Regions from separate parts of the Mus musculus genome. Here all the other regions are reported to be linked to region 2. The links are microRNA targets in miRTarBase. Many come from high-throughput screens and were not tested one by one. Region 2 holds a microRNA gene; each other region holds the end of a gene's coding sequence.
The links. Region 2 holds the annotated microRNA mmu-miR-210-3p (CUGUGCGUGUGACAGCGGCUGA, at 1,813-1,834, shown strand). A microRNA usually pairs through its seed, bases 2 to 8, with sites in the 3' UTR of a target mRNA and lowers its output. Matches are read on the target gene's strand: a 7mer-m8 pairs with bases 2 to 8, a 7mer-A1 pairs with bases 2 to 7 and ends in A, and an 8mer does both.

Region 1 (4,217 bases), not on the chromosome of region 2:
CCCTCACAAGCCTACTCATAGCAGCAGACAATGGTCACCAAAGTTAAAGGTGTACCTGGAGCCTGAGAGAGATTTCGAATATGGAAAAGATACCAGTCACTCTCCACTGCTCAGAGAATGGGGAACACAGCACGGCGCCCAGGAGAGGTCCAAAGAAGCAGGAGTCCAACCTATGCCTGTGAGCCAAATGCAGCCATCTCTTCTGTTGCTGCCGTTCCATCATCTAGAAATGGTGGAGAAGGTGGGCCTGCAGGGGCTAGAAATACTGAGGACGGATAGAAAAGGCCAGGTTAGAGAAGGCCAGCAGAGAGGCAGCTGAAAGATACAGACCCTCTGGAGACAGCTGGGACAGTAGTGTCACCTCTGGCCATCAGTGATGTCACAGGAGAGCAGAGGATCACTAGCGTCATGTGTCTCTCCACAGTGACCACCTGAGAAGTGACAGCTCGTCACCTGAGTAACGATCTTCACAGCTTCTAGTGAACTGTGAAAACAAAGATCATCTTCCCGCTGCCCCTGGGCCTCACCATACCTGTCTCTTCCTGCCTCATAGGTACCTGGGCCTACAGGTAATCTACAAGGTCTTGGGCACACTGCTGCTCTTCTTCATCAGCTGGAGGGTGAAGAAGAACAGGGAATACAGTCTGCAGGAGAATGCCTCGGGCCTCATCTGACCTTCAGCTGGGACTACTGCCCTGCCCCAGAGACTGGATATCCTACCCCTCCACACCTACCTATATTAACTAATGTTAGCATGCCTTCCTCCTCCTTCCCTCTCTCTCTCCCTCTCTCTTGCGCACACACACACACACACACATACACACATACACACACATGCGCCAGTGCGCGCACAAAAGAGAGAGAGAGAGAGAGTTAGTTCACTCACCCCTTGTCTCACCGGCCTCTTCCTCCTAAAGTCTCCCGCATGGTTCTTAGGGCCTGAAGGGTCCTGAGCTGAATGAGCGCTGGACTGAAGGGTCTAGTTTCTCAGAGTCCTTGGAAGGGATCCTCTCCTCAGCCCTGGGTCTTCCACTGTCCGTACTAAGGCAGCCTCTGTTCTCACCAGTCTCTCAGGAACACTTCAGTGGTGGGAGAAATGGGAGCCTTGACTTCCGTGCCAGGCAGCCCAGCTCCTCTGTCTCTGCCCACACCCAACAGAGAGGCAGGGGAGCAGCAGGTGGTTGTTTCTTAGCAGCTACCACTGGGCTAAGGGAGCTTGGCTGTGGCCGCTTTGCATCTGGCTTCAGTCTAGCATGGAACCCAGGAGGGACCTATCTCCCTTTCCTTTCCCACTTTCTGCCCTCAAGGCTGATTTGGAAACCACCACTTTGGGAAGTATAACCCTCTCTGTATACTACTCCCTGGTGTCAGAGCAGGAACGAAGGAACCAGCAAGGCTAGGTCATCCAAGCACTGTTCCTAGGAACCTGAGGCCTACCCTCAGGTCAGCATGTGCTTCCTTCTGCCTTTCAAACCAACAAAGCCCATGTAAGGAGCCCATGTAAGGAGGACCCAGTCTCCCACCCTCACAGTAGAGACAAGGTCTTTCCCCCTTCAGAGACGCAAATAGCCATCTTTACCATGCCCCGGAAACAAAAGAGTGACCTCACATGGGCTTTGCTGTCTGGACTTCAGCTCATGTGCAGAGGAGTAAAGGCGGTGAATGGGGGGTGTGATCCTGAGATGCAGTCAGACCAAGGAATGGAGCAGAGTGGATGCCACCTGTCACTGTGCCAGATGGCAAGTTGCAGCCCACAAAGAGAGTAGCCGGGTTGACTCGCTTGCAAACACATTGTCTTCGTTGGCATTTTCTCAGCTTTTCCTCACTACCTCTCTGGATGTGGAGGTGGGCTCCTTCTGTGGGCCTGGGCTGGGGGCCACCACTGCCATGCAGTGGAGAGGCAAAGGCAGAGGCCCAGGAATGAGGCCTTTTCTCAACGATTCTGTTTATCAGAGAACTGGCTTGGTGTTTGTCAGGGATGCTGTATGGTTCTCTGAGAGCTCCCCTGGAAAACCTTACCTCCATTCGCATTGGGATTGCTCCCAGAGAGCGCTCGGTGGGCAGCAAGAACATGCTCACACACTTGCCAAGCATATCCAGAACCAAAAAGGCTGGCGGAAAAGATCCTGGTCTGACTGCCCATGCACACCCTGAGGCTCCAGCAGGTTGACTGTGTGCCTGAGCTGGAGATCTGGCTCACCGTGTCCCCGAAGCAGCTAGGCAATTGACATTGCCCTATGTGACATTTAAGTGCCTTTCAGAAATGCCTTATATGGTGAGAAGCCAAATGGTTTATGTCGGCGTGGCAAAGGTCCTGTGAGACTGAAGCCTTCAGGGAGCCTTTGTTACTGGCAGTGTTCTTTCTGAAGCCACCGGGCTCATTTCCACAGATCTTATTAAGGAGGAGGCTCCACACAACCTCACGGGCCAGTTTCAGCATGTGGAACGGTTCTGCTTGGAACCTGATTCTCTGCAACTAACCCTGGGCTTACTCACTGCAGTTTAACCAGATTCTGAAGGCATAGCCTTCCACCAATCTCGCAAACAATGAACGTCAACCTTCCGTTCCCGGAAGATCAGCTGTCCCCACAAGTCTTTATTCTATTATATTGCTATTAATATATTATAATTCTGTTCTGGGTGTAAGTTGGTTGTAAATTTGTGCTGTCCTGGGTCTATCAGAGAACAGACAGAATTTGTGCCTTCTAGACAAAGAAGTAGCCATGCTTTAAACTTTAGAGGCCTGTAGCCAAGGGTGTTAGAGACCATGTTACTCTCAAGCCACCTGCCTGGTGCTGAGCAGGTCCCAGGCATTGCTGGTTGCTGTGTGGGGCCTTGTGCTTTCTGTGCAGACCAATGTCAAAGACTCATGCTCTTGGGAGGCCCAGTCACCGTCCTTGAGTTCATATCCAGAAGTGGGCTCAGTCACAAACACTATAGCCATGAATATCACAGTCATAATTGATCATTTACTACTATTCAGCAAATCTTGCCTCTCAAATGCCAGAGGGGCTTTAAAGATCTCACTTTTTTTTTTCCAATTAAAGAGCAAATTGTCACAGACTTCCATGAGTGTATCATGCTCAAGATTGCTGTTAAAATACAGGAACACCTGGGCTGGAGAGATGGCTCAGTGGTTAAGAGCACTGGCTGCTCTTCCAGAAGTCTTGAGTTCAATTCCCAGCAACCACATGGTGGCTCACAGCCATCTGTAATGGGATCTGATGCCCTCTTCTGGTGTGCAGGTGTACATGCAGATAGAGTACTCATACATCTTTTTAAAATGCAGGAACACAGCCGAGCAGTGGTGGTGCACATCTTTAATCCCAGCCCTTGGGAGGCAGAGGCAGGTGGATTTCTGAGTTCGAGGCCAGCCTGGTCTACAGAGTGAGTTCCAGGACAGCCAGGGCTACACAGAGAGCCAGGCTACACAGAGAGCCCTGTCTTGAAAAACAAAAGAAACAAAAAATGCAGGAACACCCTTCCCAAAGCCTGAGGCCCCTTTCTGTGACTGTAAAAGGAGTCCTGAAATTCCACCTTCCAGGAAGATGAAGGTAACCCCTGAGCCCTGTGTGATGTGGGTCACCCATGCATAGAGCCAAATCCAGGCAAATTGACCGTAAGGATTAACCACCAAAGGTGCCTTTATATGTAAGAAGGTCATAGTAGGTCTTTGATCTCTTCTCCTTGCTTCTCTGTGGAGCTTAGGAACCCTGTAGAGTCTGGCTCGGGGACAGAGTTCCATTCCTGGGCACAGCCAGAGCTATCATTCTCTGCTGCCCCACCCAACCTAGGAAATGCACCATCCAGCCTCACAAAGAAGAAACCAAAGAAACAGGAAATAAAGGGTTTGCCATCCTTTGGAAGGGAGCGATATCTACCAAGTGTCCTTGAGTCCAAAGCCTCTGGCAGGACCCTCGTCCCAGCCTATGATGGGAGCCACACTAGTATGTCTGAAAATGTAGAATCCTAGGCATGTGGAGCATGCCTTTAATCCCCGTACTTGGGAGGCAGAGGCAACTGGGTGTGTGAGAGTTCGAGACCAGCCTGATCTACATGATGAGTTCCAGGACAGCCAGGGCTACATATTGAGACCTTGTCTTAAAAAAAGAGAAAGAAAGAAAGAGAGAGAGAGAGAGAGAGAGAGAGAAAGAAGGGAGGGAGGGAGGGAAGGAGGAAGGAAAGAAAGAAAGAAAGAGAGAGAAAGAGAGAGAGAG
Region 2 (4,217 bases):
AAGGCTGGCCTGAAACTTGCATCATATCCTCCTGTTCCTGCCTCTATTCAAGGTTATAGGGGTATAATCTCTCTGTTGTTTTAACAAGCGTCCATCAGGACTTCCAGCTTGATTTTTCAATTTCTGACCCTCTGTAGAAACCGAGTCAGCGCCTGGCTTCTCTGTGCTACATCCCTATGTGGCCACAATGCCCAACATTCTGCATATGGATTTGGCTTAGGGCCTTAGTGCTTTGCTGCGTAGGCTGAGTTTTTGGCAGCTGGCTGGCTCCAGCCCAGACTTTATAAGATTCAGGATATGTGGAGGTCAAAGAAGCAGGGGAGAGGGATTGAGGGGCAGGAGGCTGAGCTGAGGAGGCTGGACCCTGAGCCAAGGACCAGGGTATCTGAGGTGGACAAAGGTGGCCTTTGGAGTTGCCTGGAGCAAGGTTATCTCTGAGGATGGTGTGGAAGACTGGTTGAGGTAGACAGGAAAGAGAAAAGATGATCTCTGCCTCAGAAGCAAAAGAGCAGCTGCTGCATCTTGTTGAGTGGTTATGAGCTATATGCCCCATGATTCCTCCAAGGAACAACCAGGGGTGAGGGAGGTGTGTAGGGAAGGAGGTCTCTTCTGGCTGCACCTCCATCCCATTGCTTTGGATCTCCTCCGAGGAGTCCAATAACTGACGCTGGCACTTTTGCCTACTTTTCAAAAGACTGGGGCAAGCCCTCTGAGAGCCCAGAGCTCGGCAGGACTCTCCCTCCAGAGTAGGTCGCTTACAGGGCAAAGACAAATCTCACTGTAGATAAGGGATTCCCCAGGGCCAGACCCCTAGGATCTCCAGGCAAGTAAGAGACAACCCACTTCTCACAGCCAGATGGACACACATCTTTGAGGATCTATTGGGTCTGAAGAAAGGCAGGGGCGTACGTGCCTCCCGAGGGCATGGTGTCCCTGGCCTTCCAGACCATCCCTGGGTCACTGCCAGGACTACGTGTGCCTGGAGAGTTATGAGTTCCCGAAGGGGAGCAGTCCTTCCTTCGACTGAGTGGGGGAATAACCAGCCCGCCTAAACATCTGTCTGGGAGGCGGGGCTGCTGCTGCTTTGCCTCAAAGGGCCTGCCTTGTCCAGCTGTCTCATTGCTCTGGGCCAATGAAGCACTTCACTACCAGGGAGCAGTGCCAACTCCAGGCCCAGAGGCAGAGAGCCCGGGCCATACCACCGATCGAGGAAAAGGCATGCCTTGGGTTGTACCAACGCCCAATCACAGGGAGACACTGTCCAGCGAGGCCTCCCTGAAAGCCCCGCCCAGCAGGTGGCGGCCCCTCCCCAAGCCGACGTGCAGAAAGGAACGCGCCGGCCTCGCCCGCGAAGGGTTGCTCGGCGGCGGGCGGGGCGTGATGCCTCCCCCTCGTGTTCACTGGCTGCAGCCCTTCAGGGTGGGCCTTACTAGACCGGCTATTGGCTGCAAGATAGACTATTTGCATATGGGGCGGGGTAACTGAACCCGATTGGGGCCCGCCTTGGGTGTGAGTGTGGCCACTGCTGCCACTGAAGTTGATCCAAGAGCTGGCTATGGCCCTGCGCCGGGGTCGCAGGTGAAATAGAAGGGTTACAAGGTTGGAGGATGGGGGAGCACCTTCGAGGCTGCTTTTCTCAGGGGGATATGGGTATTGGGCGGGACAAGAGAGGAGTGGCTCTGTTGCCCAAGTTAGAGGAGATGAGGGCGGGGGCGGAGAGGAGGACCCCCCTCCACTTGCCCACCCGCCGGGGCAGTCCCTCCAGGCTCAGGACAGCCACTGCCCACCGCACACTGCGTTGCTCCGGACCCACTGTGCGTGTGACAGCGGCTGATCTGTCCCTGGGCAGCGCGAACCCCTGGCCCTGTGACCAGAGTCTGGGCGGCGGGCAAATGGTCCACTCTGGGGCGGAGGAAGGGCACCTGGATTCAGATAGACAGGGTGGTAGCAGGTCACTAGAAGACTGTACCTACAGACAGGCCTGCTTGTAGGAGCCCAGCTGAGACACGTTGGGCTGGGGGCTTCTCTGTCCTGCACCTGTGGGTCAGAGCTTGGGCCAGATACCCTCTTGGAGGGAACTTTCTTCTTAGGTGTATTAGGGTTCCAGGCTGTGCAGTCCCCAGAAGAGCCACTGTCAAAGTCATCAAGCCCAGAGACTCTCTGGGCAGGCACAGGTATGAACTTCAGCCAACAGGACCAAAACCTACAGGACCCACCTCCTGAGGGCCACCTCCAGGAAGACATTGGCAGCTGAATGCTTCTGCCTGGTTCTGCCACTTTCAGTACCATGGATCTCTCGATGGGCTCCTGGGACAGGCCTTTTCCCCAGGGCACTCCTGCTAGGTGTTCTCAAGTCCATGGAAAAGTGGAAAAGGATATCCAGGGAAGCTATAGGCTACAGGGCCAGGACATCTAGAGCCAGTCCAGTCCCTGGAGATGGAGGGGCAGGCTTAGTCCAGGTCTTTCTAGACTGGCACTGGTATTAAACTCAGAGTGCTCTGCAGATGGGGAGGGTCATGCAGCCTCTTGGGTTGAGAAACTATGAAGCTGACTCTTATTGTTGGAAAGCTACTTAGTGGGGAGATCCTCTGAACCAGGGTTCTTATGTCCACTTCTCTGCTGGAAATGAACAAGACCACTGTGACTAGGTGGGGGCCTAGCAAAGCCTGGCCCTGACCTCTGGCTGAATTGCCCAGACAAGGCTACCCCAACACTGACAACTGGTAAGGTCCTGACATCACTCAGCCAGGTCTTGCCCTGCCAGGGACCAGACATTTGTGGGCAGCTTGTCTGTTCTTTGCTTTAGCATCACACTGTTGTCTCCAAAGTCGTTACAAAATTCCAAAGTAAACTTTTCATTAATTCAAAGGCTTGCTTGGTGGTTCAAAACGGTCTAGCAACTGTTTGGAGAATGGGATTCTGTCCACTTGAATACAGCCACAGAGGAGCAGAGCTCTGTCAGCCTTTCCCCCTCAAAGCATAGTGGCCACTATGGAAGGCTTGGAAGATTCTTCAGTGCCACTGGGAACAGCATCCTGCAGACTACGCCTAGCCTGGGCAGGGGCCTCCAGAGGAACAAGCACTTTTCAGGACATAGGGAGCACTGGTGTGTGTTTGCTAGGAAACGTGACAGGCTCAAATGAGGAGGATACAGCTTAGCCCTGCCTAGCTCCCTGGGTGGGGTGGTCTCTGGGTACTGCATCTACTAGTCTGTGCTTAGTTTTGGGAGAGGAACCATAATGGGCTTAGAACCAGTGCCAAGAAGTCTATTCAAGTCTCTGGAGTGTGGGTAGGGCTTCAGGAGGGGGTAGCATTGGGTTCCTCAGACCCCTGAATTTCCACCAAGGATTCATTCCTAGTGGCTTTTGCACTCTAGGATCCATTCTGTGTGACCTTTTGCTTGACCCTGCCTGCCTGGGGCCACAGGTTAGGCAGGTCTAGGCTACAGCAGGCTCAGGCTGGAATGCAGACAGGAGCATTCTGGCCTGTTGACACCAGATCAGGAGCCTCCCTTTGTGGCCTAGCCTCTCCCCTTCCCTGTTTCCTGCTCTAGGCAAGAATATGGTCTGCTGGGCAATGGCAGTACACACCTTTAACCCAGCACCAGGAAGGTAGAGGCAGGTGGATCCAGCCCGGTCTATACTGTGAGTTACAGAATAGCCAGGGCCACACAGAGAAAAAGGAAAGGAAAGAAAGAAAATATGGTCTTACTTATGCCTCACAGGAGTGAGCTCCTGGTGGCCCTAACCACTAAGCAGCTTTCTTGAACTCACATGGATGGCTTCCTTGCTCCTCCATTGCAGGCTTTTCACATCCCCTTTCTGTCTGACCCAGAAGAAATGAGGAACAACTGAACCTAGCTCAGGAGCCAGCTGGAGAGAAAGCTGAGCTGGTCCCAAGTGTCCTCATCAATACGGTGTAAAGACACTCATAATCTATGGTGTACCCATCTTGTCACCGATGGTTCTGATCCTCACAAAAATCTCCAGCCCCAGGACCTAGGAGTATATGGCCTGCTGGGTAACCAAGGTTTTGGAAGAGTTCAGTATCAGCTCAAGAGCCAGAGTAGAAGTGAGCCGGGCTGTGGAAGCATCCTTGCCCCAATGTCAAACCTGGAGGCTAACAGTCAGGCTTCATACTCACCCTAAGAAGAGAGGGACAGCCCTACCCTTTCAATGTCCATATCTACCTTGGGGCTAACAAAGTTTTCTAGGGAA
Region 3 (4,000 bases), not on the chromosome of region 2:
GATATGCATACCGTTCACTCGCAAGCTTACTCCGGTCTCTGCTGAAGTTGTCTCTTGTTACGATTTGATGGCAGATCTGGGAACCAAATCGCTGACCCCAACCAAGCTTGCCAGACAAACACTGTACAGACTGATCCATAACAGAAGCCCTCCAATATTACCTTATTAGAGGAATCTTTTATGACCAGACCACCTCATCTAAAATAGCACCATCCCAGTCTTCCCCAAATCGCCATCTGCTGTGGACTCAATACCTAGGCCTCCCCCAAATTCCTATGTTTAAGTAAGTCTTAGTTCCCAGTGTGATTGTATTTGGAGATTGGGAGGAGGGAGCGGTGTGGTGTAACATCAGTAGTGGGGTTAGAGCTCTTCTAGGAAAAGACTGGAACTCTCGCAGCCCTGTGATCTTTCCAGTGAGCAAATGATGATCTTCAAACCAAGAAAGGGAGCCTGTGGAACCACCTTGATCTTGAACTTTCAGACCCAGAACTGTGAAATATCTGTTTAGATGGCTCAGCGGTTAAGAGCACTGACTGCTCTTTCTAAGGTCCTGAGTTCAAATCCCAGCAACCACATGATGGCTCACAACCATCCGTAATGAGACCTGATGCCCTCTTCTGATGTGTCTGAAGAGAGCTATAGTGTACTTAGATATAGTAATAAATAAATCTTAAAAAAAAACAATCTAACAAAATAAAACAGAAACATTTGTTGCTCGTGCTCCCCGCCTATCCTGTACTGCAGCCTGAGCTGAGACCACCCCCTTGTCCTTTTTCATGTCCTTGCCAGCACTTGAATTGTTTGTCACATATGTATCTCTGCCTAGAAAAGAAATTACATATTCTGCTCTTTGATTGTTTTCTTAGAATGTGAGATAAAGAGATTGCCATCAGTTTTCAATAAATATGTTAGAAGACTAGTTTCTAGATTCTACTGTTAACTGATGATAAGTTGGTCCCTGGTGCCAATTGTTCCAAAGAGAGCTTTTTTTTCCCACAAGAATGAAAGATAATTGGACTTGATGGGTTTTATAGAAGAGGAGGAGGAAGACAGAGTTAAAATGGGGTAAGGAGTGGGGGTGGATCTCAGTGGAGTTAGGGAGGAATAGGAAGTGAATTTGATAAAAAATACATTGTATAAATATCAATTTCTAAAAACAAATAAAATATGTACTTTTTAAAATAGCAGGAAATGGAGCTGCTGGCCACTAGCATGGCAGTTATAGAACTGTAAAGTGAAAGGTGATAGCAAGGTGATTATTTAAAATCTACGCACAGGGCATAAAAGAAACTTACATACACTGTCTGTAGTTTATGGCCACTGAAGGTAATGCATTACGAGTATCAGAGAGCAGGAGAGCCATTGTTCGTTGTGACAGATTTAAAAGGATTTGTTTTTTATTTTGAAGCTTGTTTTGTTTGATCTTGACCTGTGCTAACTGCATATTTGAGCCTATGGGGGGGGGGGAGCTGAACAACCCACGTTTTCAGTCCATTTGTTAGGCAAAATATGAGGAAACATGGTCTATTTTATCAATTTTTTTTGTTTCGAAATGGCTATTTAAGTACAGATAACAGTACACACGGCAAACTGGAGGAGCAGGTCTTGCTGCCTTAACCAACCCACCTGCTACCTGATCTGTGCACTCAGCCTGAAGAGCCAGCTATGCACTGTGGTGCAGTACATCTGGAGGCCTGCCCAGCCCAGCCCCAGGAGCAGGAAGAACCCTCAGAACGAGCATGTGGAGGTTGAGAGAAATCGCACAGGACGTCCTCCATTTGTGTGATTTCAGAACAGAGTGTGGGGTGGGAAGAGAACCACAAACAATAGGGAGAGAAAAATTGAGGGAAGGTCACTACATTTTGCTTACAAGAACTAGTCATGTAATGTGAAATATGGTGAGGGGCCCCCAGTTTGCGGAGTACAGACCACTTGCTTAAAACAACCAGCCTTTCTTCTTAACTAAGTTGGTTTGGAGGTGGTTCTGTTTGCACTGATAAAGCTGAATACATTGAGACATTACCATAAATCCTTTTGTAAAGAATTTTACTTATGTGACTGTGCCTGTGCGTGTGTGTGTGTGTGTGTGTGTGTGTGTGTGTAGCTCCGGAGTATACAGATGCCCACAGAAACCAGAAGAGGATGATGTCAGATAACCACACCCCCACCCCAGGACTGGAGTTTCTTTCCCATTTGAGCCATTGATATGGATGCTGGCTGGGTTCTGAAGTCCAAGCCCTCTCCAAAAGCAGCAAGCACGCAAACCAACTCTTACAAAATCATAGGATGATTATTTCAAACAACTGTGTTTAGCACCTATCCTGCATCAGCATTTGCCTAATTGTGTAGCTTTGCTTGGTTTTGTTTCTTTGCTATTTAAGACAGGGTTTCTCTGCATAGCTTTGGCTGTCCTGGAACTCACTCTGTAGACCAGGCTGGCCTGGAACTCAGAGATCCGCCTGCCTCTGCCTCCCAAGTGCTGGGATGACCACTGCATCCTTGTGTGAGCTTGCTCCACAACTGCCAAGTTGTTTCCGGAGTTTTGGTGGTGGTGGTTTTTTGTTTGTTTTTGTTTTTTCCAACTGAAATAGCATTTTCCAGTAGTTAACACAGCTAGGAGGTAGGTGTACTCTGAGGACAGAGGGGAATTGGGTGATGTGCCAAAACACCCAGATACCGGGGTTCTGAATCCCAAGCCTTTAAATGGCTGTGATTGGATAATTCCTCTCTAGTGGAACCCCCCATCATTCCTTTGCACTGTTCTCTCTTCTTACAAAAAGGCTAAAACAGTCAAATATGGCGGTGAGCACCTCTAACCCAGCACTCAGGAGATGGAAGCAGAAGGAAACAGAAGCAATCATAATAGCAAGTCTGTGTCCAGCTGCTCTATGTGCCTCCTGGACCTGCCTCAAACAAACAAAGCGCTAAAAAATAAATACATCTAAGTTTGACTGTGGCGTGTGCTTAGCCGCAGGTGTGCGTGTGTATACACGCAATTTCACCGTGCAAAAGCAAGCAGTATATGGGGCTTCGGAGCAGAACTTTTCATTGCACAGGTACCAAGACACTTCTGTTTCTGAAAAAAAAAAAAAATATATAATAAAGTTTCCGAGTAGCGTTTGCTTGCAGAGAATTCTGGGAACCAGATGTGGGAAACATTTCTAGCTATGCCCACTTGCTTGCAGACGCTTCTCTCTGCTGTTACACAGGGCAGTATTTTAGGGGAAGCCACATCCCAGATCAGCTGGGGACCCAGCGGAATTTGTAACCACCGGTGACTGTCCGGATGGTGAAGGCTTTGCCCTGGGGGAAAGCCAGGGTGCGGATGGTACTGTGGCTGCGGATGGGCGTGCTGAAGGAGCCGCCTTCCTCCAGCTCACTGTGACTCAGATTCACCGAGCTGGCGCTGCAGTCGGTGCGCAGTCCTCGGAAGGCGCCGTGGAGGTTCCTGGAGCTGCAGTCCTTGCTGTCTGGCTCTGGCTGCAGCCTGGGCCGCTTAGGGTCACGATTGTGCAGGGCTTCCTCGCAGCGCTGGGAGATGTCTCTGAGGATGGCGTCCACTTCCGCGCAACCCTGCCCTGCTTGCCCCGCAGCACAGAACAGCTCCTCCAGGCTCCTTTTCGTTGTTGCCTTGATCTGGAAGGGCTCGGCAGGAGACTGCGTGATCATCAGCTTCTGTGAAAGATGAGGGAGAGCCCTGGAGCCAGGGGGACTCGCCTGGAGCCGCGCTGGAAAAAAAAGAGTCAGGTGCGCGCTACTCGAGGGACACCCAGGGGCCCCAACACAAGCTCACTGTCACAGTTCCGACCGTGTCCCGCGCGCCGGTCCACTTACATCCAGCACTGAGGCCAGGTGCCGGGTCCGGCTGGCGAGTTCTTTCAGCTGCACGTTCCTCTCCCGGAGCGAGGCTATCTCCTCCTGCTTCTGCGTCAGCGTCACGTGCAGCTGCAGGAGATCCAGCATCAAGCAGAAGCCACAGTGCTGGGTCTGCTCTTCAGGA
Region 4 (4,217 bases), not on the chromosome of region 2:
TTGATCGATCCGTCCTACCAGACGGAGCTCAACATTCTTAACCCGGGGACTTAGTTATGTTTAAATTGGGGGTGTGGTTTGAACAGCAATAAAATGTAGAACCTTTCTCACACACACACACACACACACAAAAAAGGAAAGAAAAAGAAAATATTCAAATCCTTCCTGTTTTGAAATACACTATGGAGTTTGGGGGTTGTATTAGTCAGTGTTCTGTTATTGTAAAAAGGCAGCATGACCACAGCAATTCTTATAAAAGAGCACGTTTAATTGGCGCATACTTATAGTTCCAGAGGCGTAGTCCATTATCATCATGGCAGGAGGCACGACCTCACACAGGCAGGGTGCTGGAGAAATAGCTGAGAGTTCTACACTTGGATCTGTAAGCAGCAGAAGAAGAGAGGAGACACTGGGCCTGGCTTGGGCTTTTGGAACTTCAAAGCTCACCCCCAGTGACATTATTCCTTTAATAAGACCACCTACTTCAAGAAGGCCACACCTCCTAATCCTTCTCAAGTAGTGCCACTCTGATGACTAAGCATTCAAATTTATGAGCCTATGGGGCCACTCTTATTCAAACCACCATAAGGGTATAATGGTAGATTCTATGCTTTGCTCGTACTGGGTTTGATCTCCAGCACCAGGTCTATAGAGATGACTCAGTGATTAAATACAGTGGCTGCTCTCCCAGAGGATCAGAGTTCAATTCCCAGCAACCACATTGCAGTTTATAATCATCTGTAAGTCAAGTTCCAGGGGAATCCAATGCCCTTTCTGCCCTTCACAGGTACCAGACATGCAGGTGGTGCACAGACATATGTGCAGGCAAAACACATAAAATAACAAAAATATTATCTCCAGCAACAACAACAAAAATCGATCTGTGCGATAGATACTGTGCTACAGAACCCAAGAATCTAGACTTCCACTGTACCCATAACCAGCCAGTCCTACTGTCCTCCCCTGCTAACCTTCCCAGCTTCTGCCACCTAATGTTTGAGTTTTGTCACTGTGACAGATGCTATGACCAAAAAGCACTTAGGGAGGAAAGGGTTTATTTGGCTAATGTGGAGAGCCGTGCCACGAGGTGCGTGCCGCCAGTAATCGCTGTGGAGAGCCGTGCCGAGAGCAATCACCATTATAAGATGGCGCTGGCCTCCGCTGTGCCTAACTAGTAAACAAGCCTTGTACGCAGGTGCGAGAGTGAACTCACTCCTAGTCACTCCTATTCTCGAGGTGTAATAGTGGGGTGATGGGCGAGCAACGAATCAGGAGCTGTCACGCCATATCAGGTGCTGAAATGTCACGCTGCAGGCTATAAAAACGGCGCCATTTTCCCGGTTTGGGGTCTTCCTGAAGAAGCAAGCAATAAAGCTTTTGCTGTGGAAGATTCCGGTTTGTTGCGTCTTTCTTGCCCGTCGAGTGGGACGCAAAAGGCTAACACTTCCAGGACACAGTCCAGCACTGAGCAGGCACTCAGGGCAGGACCCCGAAGCAGAAAGCCTGATGACTTTCAGGCTTATTAGAGGAATCTGCCTTGATCTCTGGCTCATGCTTACTGTGCTCTTAACTGAGCCACCTCTGCCCACCCCCCAGACCTGGGTCTTAGTTTCTGAAGGCTCTCATGCCATGCAACAGTTTGATTTTTGTTATTGTTGGTTTTTGTTTTGTTTTGTTTTTGTTTTTGTTTTTGATTTGGTTTGGTTTGGTTTGGTTTGGTTTGGTTTGGTTTGGTTTGGTTTGGTTTTTCGAGACAGGGTTTCTCTGTGTAGCCCTGGCTGTCCTGAAACTCACTTTGTAGACCAGGCTGGCCTCGAACTCAGAAATCCACCTGCCTCTGCCTCCCGAGTGCTGGGATTAAAGGTGTGCACCACCACGCCTGGCAACAGTTTGAATTTTTAAAAATGATTCATCTGTATACTGGGGGGCAGGCGTGTGCCATGGTGCCCGTGTGAAGGTCAGAGGACGAGTTGCTGGAATCAGTCCTCTCCTTCCACCAGGTGGGGTCCAGGGATTGAACTCATTTGTCAGGCTTGGTAGCCAGTCCCATTTCCCACTGAATCAGCTCATGCAACCCTTTTATTAAACATGGTTTAATTAAACATGGTTCAGAGGCTGCAGAGAAGGTTCAGCACTTACGAGCTCTCACAGAGGACCAGAGTTTGGTTCCTAGCACCCATATTAGGTAGCTCATAACCACCTGTAACTCCAACTCCAGGGGAACTGAAATCATGTGGCCTCTGTGGGCACCTGCACAGACACACACGGACACACATGTGATGAAAAATAATAACTCTGACTCGGGTTCTATAGCCGTCTCTTTACTGCCTGTCTTGTGTTATAGGGGATCAAGCATGAGCCTAGCAATGGGTAAAGAAATCCCTCCTCCTGTGCTGACCACTCTCTGACTGGCAGGTGGCTGTGGCCTAAATGTGCGGGAATGAGAGCGTTTGCTCACACACATCCTCTTCCCTGCCTCGAAGACAGGTCTGAAGGTTGGCACACATGGGATTCCTGGCTTCTGTTTCCTTCCCCAGCTGCTCTGCTGCCTCCTGGACTAAATGTTCATCCTCCCCTCATGTCACCATGACAGAGCTCAAAACACCAAGAGGTTCTCTTCCCAACATTGGTTTGCTTTGTAAAATTGATGTTCTTGTTGGATGTGTGCATAAAAAAAAAAAAAAAACCCAAACAAACAAAACCCCTTCTCTTCTTCGCTGCTGCTAGACGTGTGTTAAGTATCTGAACAGTCACCCAAAAGCCACTTCTGGAAGGATGACAAGAGTGGGAACACTGGCCCAAGAATTGAAGGAAGGACAACATAGTTTTGTCTATAATGAGCTAGTTTTTATTTTAATAAGAATATTTACACTTAAGGTTCCCCCTTAATTCATGACATAAAAGAATTCTGTTTTTTTTTTTTTTTTTTTTTTGGATAGGCACATTTTAAAATTACACATGTGGTGTGTGTGTGCGCGTGTGTGTGTGTGTGTGTGTGTGTGTGTGTGTGTGTGTGTGCGTGCGCGCGTACGCACACGCGCACAAGCACTTGTGTGTGTCAGAGGACAACTTGTCAGAGTTTGTTCTCTCCTTCTACCATGTAGACCCTGGGGGAAAAAAATCTTAAGTTGTCAGGCTTGGCAGAAAGCACCTTTACCACGGAGCCATCTCACCAGGTCCACAGGCACATTTTTATAAGAAAGTTTTAATTTCTTTGTCGTCTTACGGCACTGGGGAATGAATTCTGGGCACTATGGAAGAAAGACGAATGCATTACCACCAAGCTCTATATATCCTCAGTCCTTCATAGGCACTTATTATATTGAGAAAAAACATAAGCTGGGCGTGGCTTTACTCCCAGCACTTGGGAGGCAGAGGCAGGCCGATCTCTGAATTCAGGCCCAGCCTGGTCTCGGCCAAGGGTACACAGAGAAACCCTGTCTCAAAAAAAAAAAAAAAAAAAAAAAAGAAAAGAAAAAAAGAAAAAGAAAAAAGAAAAAAGAAAGAAACTTTAAAAAATTAGAATATGTTCAAATGAACTAACCTGAACTGACATTGTGATAATATATATGAGGTTTCCCCCAAACCATCAACTAATAGGTTATATTTTAGAGGACAGTCCCTAACTCTTGCTACCCAACTGTTTGTGGAAGAAAGTCTGGAGCTGCTGCCATGCGTCCACCTGGGCCACGGCATGAGCCCTGGGCTCCCCTCCAAAGGTGATGTTGGCACCCACCAGGAGGTGCATGCCAGCGCTGCACAGCGGGAAGTAAGGGGGCTCGATGTAATGCCCTGCTGCTGGGTAGCAGATGATCTGGGGCTTCTCCTTCCCGTGCGCCTGCAGGCGTTTGGAGATCTCATCAGCATAGAACTCGCTCTTCCAGTTGTGGTCGTCCTGACCTACGAGGAACAGGAAGGTCGTGTCAGACCTTTCCACGGGAATGAAGCTCTTCTTGTCTACCAGAGGGCTTTGCAGAGCTTCCACGACATCCAAGAGACCATCTTTGGTCATTTTGACTTGGTTTCTCAGAAGGGACACAGGGGGTATAGTCTCATCCTTGTAGGAGATGGTGTTCCCAACAGCAGCCACGGAGCCATTGATGACCACAGCAGCTGTGATGCCCTTCAGGAAGGAGGCCATAGCAAGGCCAAGTTCACCCCCTTTGGAAATCCCAAGCAGCCCAATTCCAGGTCCTTTTACCTGAGAAAGAAACAAA

Region 1: the mRNA of Slco2a1 is a reported target of mmu-miR-210-3p. Seed matches in the 3' UTR shown: 7mer-A1 at 848-854.
Region 3: the mRNA of Mcidas is a reported target of mmu-miR-210-3p. Seed matches in the 3' UTR shown: 7mer-m8 at 2,976-2,982 and 7mer-m8 at 2,066-2,072.
Region 4: the mRNA of Acot2 is a reported target of mmu-miR-210-3p. Seed matches in the 3' UTR shown: 7mer-m8 at 3,015-3,021.

Annotation. Positions count from the first base shown.
Region 1 is chr9:103,085,206-103,089,422 of GRCm38, forward strand. Slco2a1 (solute carrier organic anion transporter family, member 2a1) reads left to right here. Exons shown (of 14, transcript NM_033314.4): 14 at 554-3,060. The coding sequence ends at 674. Among named protein-coding and RNA genes, the nearest start is that of Rab6b, 25 kb to the right of the region's middle.
Region 2 is chr7:141,219,024-141,223,240 of GRCm38, reverse strand. It overlaps Mir210 (microRNA 210), which reads left to right and starts at 1,748; the gene lies at 1,748-1,857.
Region 3 is chr13:112,998,425-113,002,424 of GRCm38, reverse strand. It overlaps Mcidas (multiciliate differentiation and DNA synthesis associated cell cycle protein), which reads right to left. Exons shown (of 7, transcript NM_001037914.3): 6 at 3,835-3,945; 7 at 2,031-3,675. The coding sequence ends at 3,241. Among named protein-coding and RNA genes, the nearest start is that of Mcidas, 6.6 kb to the right of the region's middle.
Region 4 is chr12:83,992,486-83,996,702 of GRCm38, reverse strand. Acot2 (acyl-CoA thioesterase 2) reads right to left here. Exons shown (of 3, transcript NM_134188.3): 3 at 2,826-4,201. The coding sequence ends at 3,623. Among named protein-coding and RNA genes, the nearest start is that of Acot2, 6.7 kb to the right of the region's middle.